2 linked regions of the Macaca fascicularis genome follow. Each later gene encodes a partner of the first gene's protein in a complex. Links are inferred from orthologs where the notes say so. Each region holds a gene or a part of one and is shown on either strand. Other genes may lie near its edges.

Region 1 (4,392 bases):
GATCCGGCGTCACGCGTCACCGCGCCCCCGCGCCCCGCCCCCTAGCTCACCTAGCTGGGCGGGGCTCCGCGGACCAGCGCAGGTGGATTTTGCTGTGCCGAGACAGGCCTCACGGGTTATGGGGACAGCGCCTTGTGGGTCCCCATTATATAGGTGGAAAGGGACAAACAGGCCCACCTGTACGCGCCTCCCGAAGTGCGCTCCTTCCCTAAACGTTTTGGGAGCTCCTGGGACAGGAAATACGGCAATTCGTCCAGGCAGCGCAGAAACAAAGAGATAAATATGGTAACGCGCACCTACATTTCCAAGGACATTCTTTAAGCACGCATAAATTAAATATGTAATAGGTGCTGGGACCTAGTCATACCCAGGTGAATAAAACGCCCTCCCCCTCGTATCTCTATGAGGGAAGAGAAGAAAATTTTAAAATAGAAATATCCTCACCACTTCATCCTCCCAGTACATGAACTAGTTCGTTAAAGTGAAACGTTCGAAGGAGACACCTTCCTCTCTTTAGGCTTTCCTCTTAGTTTTGGTAAGATTAACCAAAATGATAGAAAAGTGTCAGACTTGTAGAAACAAACCTCAATCTTGAATACTTGCGAACTGAAAAAAAATCATTTAATTGGATAGAAACTATGTGTGTTTTGTTCCCTGGTACTAGCACTGTTTCTAAATCGAAGTACGCAGTCAATAGTTGTGGATGAATAAATGAATTGGATAAATTCTGCTCAAGCTAGATGACTTTTTGTTGTTAAGGTGCTTGCTGAATGGAGCGGAAATGCTAGCAATTCCACGTACACACAGACCCGCGGTTTCGGGCCAGTTGAAATACACAAGGTTGAGTCTTGCCTGAAAGTTTACCAATCCCGGGTAGCCTCATTCCACGACACCGCCATACAACGGAACTGAGTTTTCTCCCGATCCCCCAACTTTACTCTGAGGGGTTAACGAAGGGATTAACTGGTATTGAATTTTTAGACAGGCGAAAAGGAAAAAGTTATTTAGTAAACAAAACTGCGCTCCTTCACAAGTGCTGGTTTCCTAGCTAGGAGGATCCATAGTCTGAGCTCTTTACGTCCAATTTTCCCGCTTCCCACTGTCGCCAAACCAAAGTTAAAATGAGTCCTCTAGTCCTCTACGCGCGCCTCAAAATGACCCCTCAGGAGAGCGGTAGGGGTGATGTCATCGCTGCGCGACGACAGGAAGTAAGATACTGTCCTGTGCAGCTCGGGGTTCCGAGCTTCTGCCTCAGACATCGCCGCGATCTCCTCTCCCCTCCAATCCTATCCGTGATGGACGATGCCCGCGAGTCGCCCTCCGACAAAGGTGGAGAGACAGGGGAGTCGGATGAGACGGCCGCTGCGTCCGGGGACCCGGGGGCTACCGACACGGATGGAATCCCAGAGGAAACTGACGGAGACGCAGATGCGGACTTGAAAGAAGCTGCAGCGGAGGAAGGCGAGGTAGGAAGAGATGTATCGATGAGGCTGAAGGAATACCCAGAGATCGTGTTACTGGGTGCTTGCCGGGCTTCTGGTTAGTCCCTCCCAAGTTACGAGAACTCGAACTCACCAGAACTCCCTCCAGATCGTTAATCTTGAGGGGGAAGAGAGCGGACGACCAAACAGAACTCCAGTGCTGGTTCCGTTCCAGAGGCTCAAGCACTGCGTTAATATTTTTAGTCTTGTCAAGGGATTAAAGCTACTTCTAAGGGAGTTTTAATAGCCTATTGGCTTTAGTGGTGAGGAAACTGGGATCCAGTGTCACACTGAGACGCAGTGCAAGAGCTAAAACCCAGGATTCGTAGCACCCCTTTCACCGCAATATGGTTCGTCTTAGATGTTAAGACAACTTTGTTTCTTTATAGGAAGGAGGGTCGATCAAACCTGTCAAAGGGAGATAGACTTTTATAAAAGTGTCGCCCGGGCTGTAGTACAATGGCGCGATCTCTGGCTCACTGCAACCTCCGCCTCCCGGGTTCACGCGATTCTCTTGCTTCAGCCTCCCAAGTAGCTGGGATTACAGGCTCACACCACCATGCCCGGCTAATTTTTGTATTTTTATTAGAGACGGGGTTTTACCATGTTGGCCAGGCTGGTCTCGAACCCCTGACCTCGTGATCCGTCCGCCTCGGCCTCCCAAAGTGCTGGGATTACAGGTGTGAGCCACAGCACCCGGTGATCAGGGACCCATCAGTTGGGTCTGGTGTTTTTATGCTACAGAGAGTTCAGCAGTGTTGCCTAGCTGAACATTGGTCAGGACCAGAAACTCATCGTTCTCTGGATTACATTTCTGGAAGTAGAATCTTGGGGTCTTAGAGCTAGAAGGGATTTAAGAGATCGTGGGGTGAACAGTAGATTAGATGGAAATAGCCTTTCAGTGTATAAAGTTGCATAAAAATATATAAAGTAAGAACTTTTAGAAAAAGAGAAAATTTGGCCGGGTGCAGTGGCTCACGCCTGTAATCTTTGGGAGGCGGAGGTGGGTGGATCGCCTGAGGTCAGGAGATCCCCAATATGGGGAAACCCTGTCTCTACTAAAAATACAAAAATTAGCTGGGCATGGTGGCAGGCGCCTGTAATCCCGGCTACTTAGGAGGCTGAGGCACAAGAATCGCTTGAACCTGGGAGGCAGAGGTTGCAGTGAGCCGAGATCGCACCACTGCACACCAGCTTGGGTGCCAGAGTGAAACTCCGTCTCGAAAAAAAGAAAAAGAGAACATTTGACAAAAGTATTTTAAGGCAGGTTTCTTTTTTTGTTTTTGTTTTTGTTTTTGAGACTGAGTACTCGCTCTGTCACCCAGGCTGGAATGTGCAGTGGCGCGATCTCGGCTCACTGCAAGCTCCTTTAAGGCAGTTTTTGTTGGTTTGTTGAGACAAGGTCTCACTCTGTCACCCAGCCTGGAGTGCAGTGGCACAGTCTCTGCCTCCTGGGCTCAAGCAACCCTCTTATCTCAGCCTCCGCAGTAACTGGGATTGCAAGCATACTGCACCACGCTCAGCTGAAGTTTTTGTATTGTTTTGTTTTGTTTTGTTTCGTTTTTGAGACGGAGTCTCGCTCTGTTGCCCAGGCTGGAGTGCAATGGCGCAATCTCGGCCTACTGCAACCTCCGCCTCCCAGGCTCAAGTGATTCTCCTGCCTCAGCCTCCCCAGTAACTGGGATTACAGGCACGTGCCACTGTGCCCAGCTAATTTTTGTATTTTTAGTAGAGCCAAGGTTTCACCAAGTTGCGCAGGCTGGTCTTGAACTCCTGACGTCATGATCCATCTGCCTCAGCCTCCCAAAGTTCTGGGATTATAGGCATGAGCCACCGCACCTGGCCAGCTAAAGGTTTTTTAAATATTGTTTTGGTAGAGACAAGGTCTCATTATATTGCCCAGTCTGGTCTCCAACTCACTGGGCTGAAGTAATCCTTCCGCCTCAGCCTCCCAAAGTGCTAAGATTACAGGTGGGAGCCACCATGCCTGGCCAAGAAGGAAACTTTAAAACAGGTGTCAAGGACAGCAAGGATTTGAATAATTAGCTTGGTACACTAGAGAGCTCACTACATATATAAATTTGCACCGAACAGAGGATAAAATTATGTTGTTTCTGAAACACTTTTAAAAATCAATCATGTACTAGACCATGAAGAAAAATATGAATTCTTAAAAGTAGATATCATAACAGGCCACATCTTGTTAATGCAATGCATTAAACTTGAAATTAACTACAAAAAGCTTCTCCCCCACCAAAAAAGAACCCCCTGGAAATTTTAAACTATTTTTTAAATAGCCTTTAGACTAAAGAAATTAACAGAACACTTTATCAAATGATATGGGATTTGGCCAAAGCTTTATTTAAAGAAAAATGTATAGCCTTACATATTTTTATTAACAACCAGAAGATACTGCAAATAAGCACCTGACTCAAGAGACCAGATAAAGGGCCTAGTGGAGTAGGTCACACCTACAGACCTAGCTACCTGGCAGGCTGACACGGGAGGATCACTTGAGGCTGCAGTGAGCTATGATCCAGCCTGGGCAACAGAGTGAGTCTGGGGAAAAAACAAACAAACAAACAAACAACAGATAAAGAACAAAATAAATCAGAAGAGTGTAGGAACAAGGAGTTAATAAGGATACAAGTAGACACTAATGAATTAGCACATTAAAAAACATAAATGATAAAATTAAAACCTGATTACTTAAAATGTAAATGTACATTAGAAAATATGAAAGGCTATAGGCACTAATATGGAGATCTTTAAAGCTATAAAAACATTTAATGTTCAAGTTTAGGCCAAATAAATGGGAAAATCTGAGAAAAACAGGTGAATTTTTAAAGAAAATACAAACCACCAAACTTGAAGCGCAAAGAAGTTAGAAAACTTGTATAAATCGGTAAGT
Region 2 (4,487 bases), on another chromosome or scaffold:
TTCTTGGTAACACTGTGGTTTTCAACCGTGTTTTCAAATGCTTAAACGTTTATGCAAAACTAGTGAATTCAACAATTTTAAGTTAGCCAGAAAAAAATTTTAAGGCCTACAAACTTATACACCGGAAAGTATACCGGACTATTTTACAGTTTGGAGGCACACATAGCCTATAAGCACCCCGACACACTAGAAAACACATTGTTCAGCCCTCCGCCCCAAATCGTTCGGGATTAGAGACTGTGACGTTTCAACAGATACACAAGTGGGAAAAAACCACCTATTTGAGTAAATATAGTTTGCAGCTCAAAATAAAAGATGCAGACCAGGGGCCGGGCGCGGTGGCTCACGCCTGTAATCCCAGCACTGTGGGAGGCCACGGCGGGAGGATCACCTGAGGTCAGGAGTTCGAGACCAGCCCGGCCAAAACATGGTGAAACCCCATCTCTACTAAAAATGCAAAAATTAGCCGGGCGTGGTGGTGGGCGCCTGTAATCCCAGCCCTTCCGGAGGCTAAGGCAGGAGAATCACTTGAACCCGGGAGGCGGAGGTTGCACTCCAGCCTGGGCGACAAGAGTGAGACTCCGCACCCCCCCGCCAAAAGAAAAGAAGACTACTGTCACGGTCAGGGCTCTATTCACCCTTGAAAACAAGATTGACAATTACCTCCTTTAAAAAGCAAGTAACTGTCCCTGAAGATGCCAGGTTCCTGAAATGAGATGTCAGAGGCAGACCTTCAAGACTATTCCTAGCCGACCCACCACCACCCCACACAGTGAACAGGGTATACCAAGCTCAAATATTCGTTCAACGTAATCCTATAATCAGTGGGGTGCCGGGTTGAGCTCGCAAATCCCCGCTGCAGGACAGGGCTTTGCACCCTCAATCTTCTCATCCCCAGATGGGATGGGCGGGTCGGGAGGAGGAGCGACGCGAGCCCAGGAAAGCTCGAAGGCAGAGATAGACTCGCGTCTCTAAGACATACACGTAATATAGCCGCAACCGCGGCGGCCTTACTTTCCCGGAGTTGCATCCCCTTTTGGGCAAAGAGCTGAGGCGACCGGGGTCTAACCTACGTGAAAGGGCAGCCACCTGGCCCTACCCGGGCTCAACGCCGAGCCTCTCGGAGGTACGGCCTCCCGGGGACCTTCCAGACTGGTCGGCGCATCAGCGACGCAAGCGAAGGGCGGGGACCTCCGAAGGAGTGTGTTACTTAGACATCCAGCGCACTGCCTGACCCGAAGTACCGACCCGAGTTACGCCCACCCTCCAACTTTGCGATGGAAATGTGTCATCGAAAGCCAGGTAACCAGTGGGCCGCGGCTGGGTCGCAGGGACAGGCTAGGGGCGCCGCGGTGGGCCTCGAGGCCCTTGGGGCCGTGGGCTTTTGCTGTCGCCCACCCCTTCCGGCTCCTCCCCGTAGAGCAAAGGGCACGTGAGCTAGGCGCCCGGAGCCGTCGCCGCGGGGACCATGTTGCTTCCGAACATCCTGCTCACCGGTCAGGGCGCGCGGCCGGGAGGGGATGGGCGGGGGCAGGTGAGGGGCGCGGAGTGTTCTGGGCATCGGGCGCCCAGGTAGGAGTTTCTCAGTGCCGTCTTCGGAGGCCTGCAGAGGGCCACGAGGCGGTTGTCAGCGTCCCGGGAGCCGACCCTCACGGGCGTTGCGGCAGGCGGGGGAGGGGACGCGGAACGTTATTTCCGTTGGCCCGAGGCTCCCGGGGGAGGTGAAGAGAGGTCGGCAGATCCAGCTCTTCTGCTTAGCAACCCGCTTAGTCTTTCGGAATCTGGTATTTCGTTTGTAAAATGGATTGTTAATTCTTTGGCAGGGTAGGCTTTGAAATTTTCAGGGAAATAAGGCCATATCTGCTTCCCAGTAGTGCCATTAATGGTGGATTCCTCACTCCTTAGGCCTCCGTGGGCCGTATTTTATTTTTTCCTTTGCTTCTGATAAACGCCTCAGATTAGATTTCGGTAAATGAGTTCAGATGTTTGTGGCGTGACGAAATTACTGTATGCTTTTGTTGAGTTACATCAGAGGCTCCCCCCGCCCCTTAAAAAGAAGGCATCTAGTGAGCATTTCGGGTCGTTTCTCGCGTAGGAGTGGGTCTTTGAAGCCATACTCAGGGTGCGTGTTATCAGTAAAGGGAACTAAAATGCTGCAAAACGACTTCAACGAATATTTTTGCTAGCCGTTCAGTCCTGAAAGCGTTTATTAAATTGTAGGCCATTCGTGGAAAAATCTAATGCATGTAGATTTTATTGTAGCGTACAGAAAAATTAAGACTCTGTGGAAACAGTACAGTTACATCATTCACCCAAACGTAAGATTGTTGGCAGCGCACAAGACATGTCTGTTTCTGAGAGATGCAGATTAACCACCCCACAAATAATGTTTAGCATTTTAGATTCCTTAAGCAGAAGATTTTACATCTTTTTGTATGGATCAAACATAGTGCCCTGGTTATTAAGTCATTGTCAAAACATTTTATTGAAAATGTTTTGACAATAAAAGTGAGCATTTTATTGAAAACATGTTGAGTCCAGACTTCAGACTTGGTGTATTATAGTGGACTTGGGGTGGCTGTTATTCTCCTAGATAAGGGAACTGGATTATCCCTGTTATCTGTATGCTCAAGTTTAATTTCAGGGATGTTAAACCTGAATAGCTGAAAATTATGAATTTGATGATCTTGAAATGTAATTATAATAGGTATCATAAGAGGAAGGTAAAGAACAATGTATATAGTATTGTCATTTATGTACAAGGGAATATATATTGTATTTATTACAAAGAGTATGTACATACATACATGTACATTTATATGCAAACATAAATAGGGTTTTTTTGGGAATATATACCTGTATAGGAAACTGGTTTACAGTGGTTATCTCTAGGGAAGGGTGCAAGGGGTCAGTAGAGGTAATACGGTGTCTTTCAGACTGCTTAATTTTTTTTTTTTTTTTTTTTTTTTTTTTGAGACGGAGTCTCGCTCTGTCGCCCAGGCTGGAGTGCAGTGGCCGGATCTCAGCTCACTGCAAGCTCCGCCTCCCGGGTTCGGGCCATTCTCCTGTCTCAGCCTCCCGAGTAGCTGGGACTACAGGCGCCCGCCACCTCGCCCGGCTAGTTTTTTGTATTTTTTAGTAGAGACGGGGTTTCACCGTGTTAGCCAGGATGGTCTCGATCTCCTGACCTCGTGATCCGCCCGTCTCGGCCTCCCAAAGTGCTGGGATTACAGGCTTGAGCCACCGCGCCCGGCCAAGACTGCTTAAATTTTAACATGAACAGTTTTTGTTTTTGTTTTTGTTTGAGACAGTCTCATGTTGGCCAGGCTGGTGTCGAACTCCTGAGCTTAAGTGATCCTCCCACCTTGTCCTCCCAAATTGTTGGGATTACACGCGTGAGCCACCACACCTGGCCAATGAACAGTTTTTAAATCTTTTTAAATTAAAGCAAATAGGCCAAGCAAACGAGCCTGTAAATTAAAGCTCATGCCCGTAAATCCCAGCACTTTGGGAAGTGGAGGTGGGGGGATGGCTTGAGCTCAGGGGTTTGAGCTTAGCTTAGGCAATATAGCCAAATCCCGTCTCTACAAAAATTAACCAGGGCATGTTGGTGCATACCTGTGGTCCTAGCTACTGGACAGGCTGAGATAGGATTTGAGCCCAGGAGGTGGAGGCTCCAGTGAGCCAAGTTCCACTGCACTCTGGCCTGGGTAACAAAGAGATATCTTGACTTTAAAAGAAGAAAAAGGTTGCCGGGCGCGGTGGCTCAAGCCTGTAATCCCAGCACTTTGGGAGGCCGAGGCGGGCGGATCACGAGGTCAGGAGATCGAGGCCATCCTGGCTAACACGGTGAAACCCCGTCTCTACTAAAAAATACAAAAAACTAGCCGGGCGAGGTGGCGGCGCCTGTAGTCCCAGCTACTCGGGAGGCTGAGGCAGGAGAATGGCGTAAACCCGGGAGGCGGAGCTTGCAGTGAGCTGAGATCCGGCCACCGCACTCCAGCCTGGGCGACAGAGCCAGACTCCGTCTCAAAAAATAAAATAAAAATAAATAAAAAGAAGAAAAAGGTAAATAAAGTATTGTAATTGATTCGAGGTGGCTAATTTTTTTTTTTTTTTTTTTGGAGACGGAGTCTCTGTCACCACGCTGGAGTGCTGTGGCGCGTCCTCGGCTCACTGCATCCTCCAACCACCCGGTTCAAGGGATTCTCCTGCCTCAGCCTCCTGAGTAGCTGGGATTACTGGCATGTGCCACCACGCCTGGCTAATTTTTGTATTTTCATAGAGATGGAGTTTCACTATGTCGGCCAGGATGGTCTCGATCTCCTGACCTCATGATCTTCCCGCCTCGGCCTCCCAAAGTGCAGTGATTACAGGCATGAGCCACTGCGCCCAGCACGAGGTGGCTAATTTTATTCTGAGTAGTTCCATGGTAGCAGCAGGCAGTTTGAATTGGCGTCAGAATTTGCTGAGCCCCACCCCTGGAG

The links. Proteins that work in one complex are often made in the same cells at the same time.
Region 2: TAF11 (region 1) and TAF9 share a complex: the UniProt entries of both Homo sapiens proteins name them as parts of the TFIID basal transcription factor complex. The link is inferred for Macaca fascicularis from reciprocal best matches to the Homo sapiens genes TAF11 and TAF9.

The regions. Positions count from the first base shown.
Region 1 is NC_088378.1:136,805,580-136,809,971, forward strand, and holds the start of TAF11 (transcription initiation factor TFIID subunit 11), read left to right. Parts: upstream 1-1,210; 5' UTR 1,211-1,295; coding exon 1,296-1,466; intron 1,467-4,392. UniProt on the Homo sapiens protein: The TFIID basal transcription factor complex plays a major role in the initiation of RNA polymerase II (Pol II)-dependent transcription.
Region 2 is NC_088380.1:75,041,429-75,045,915, reverse strand, and holds the start of TAF9 (transcription initiation factor TFIID subunit 9), read left to right. Parts: upstream 1-1,407; 5' UTR 1,408-1,468; coding exon of another isoform or gene 1,469-1,496; intron 1,497-4,487. Other genes in the region: AK6 (adenylate kinase isoenzyme 6), read left to right, coding at 1,469-1,496. UniProt on the Homo sapiens protein: The TFIID basal transcription factor complex plays a major role in the initiation of RNA polymerase II (Pol II)-dependent transcription.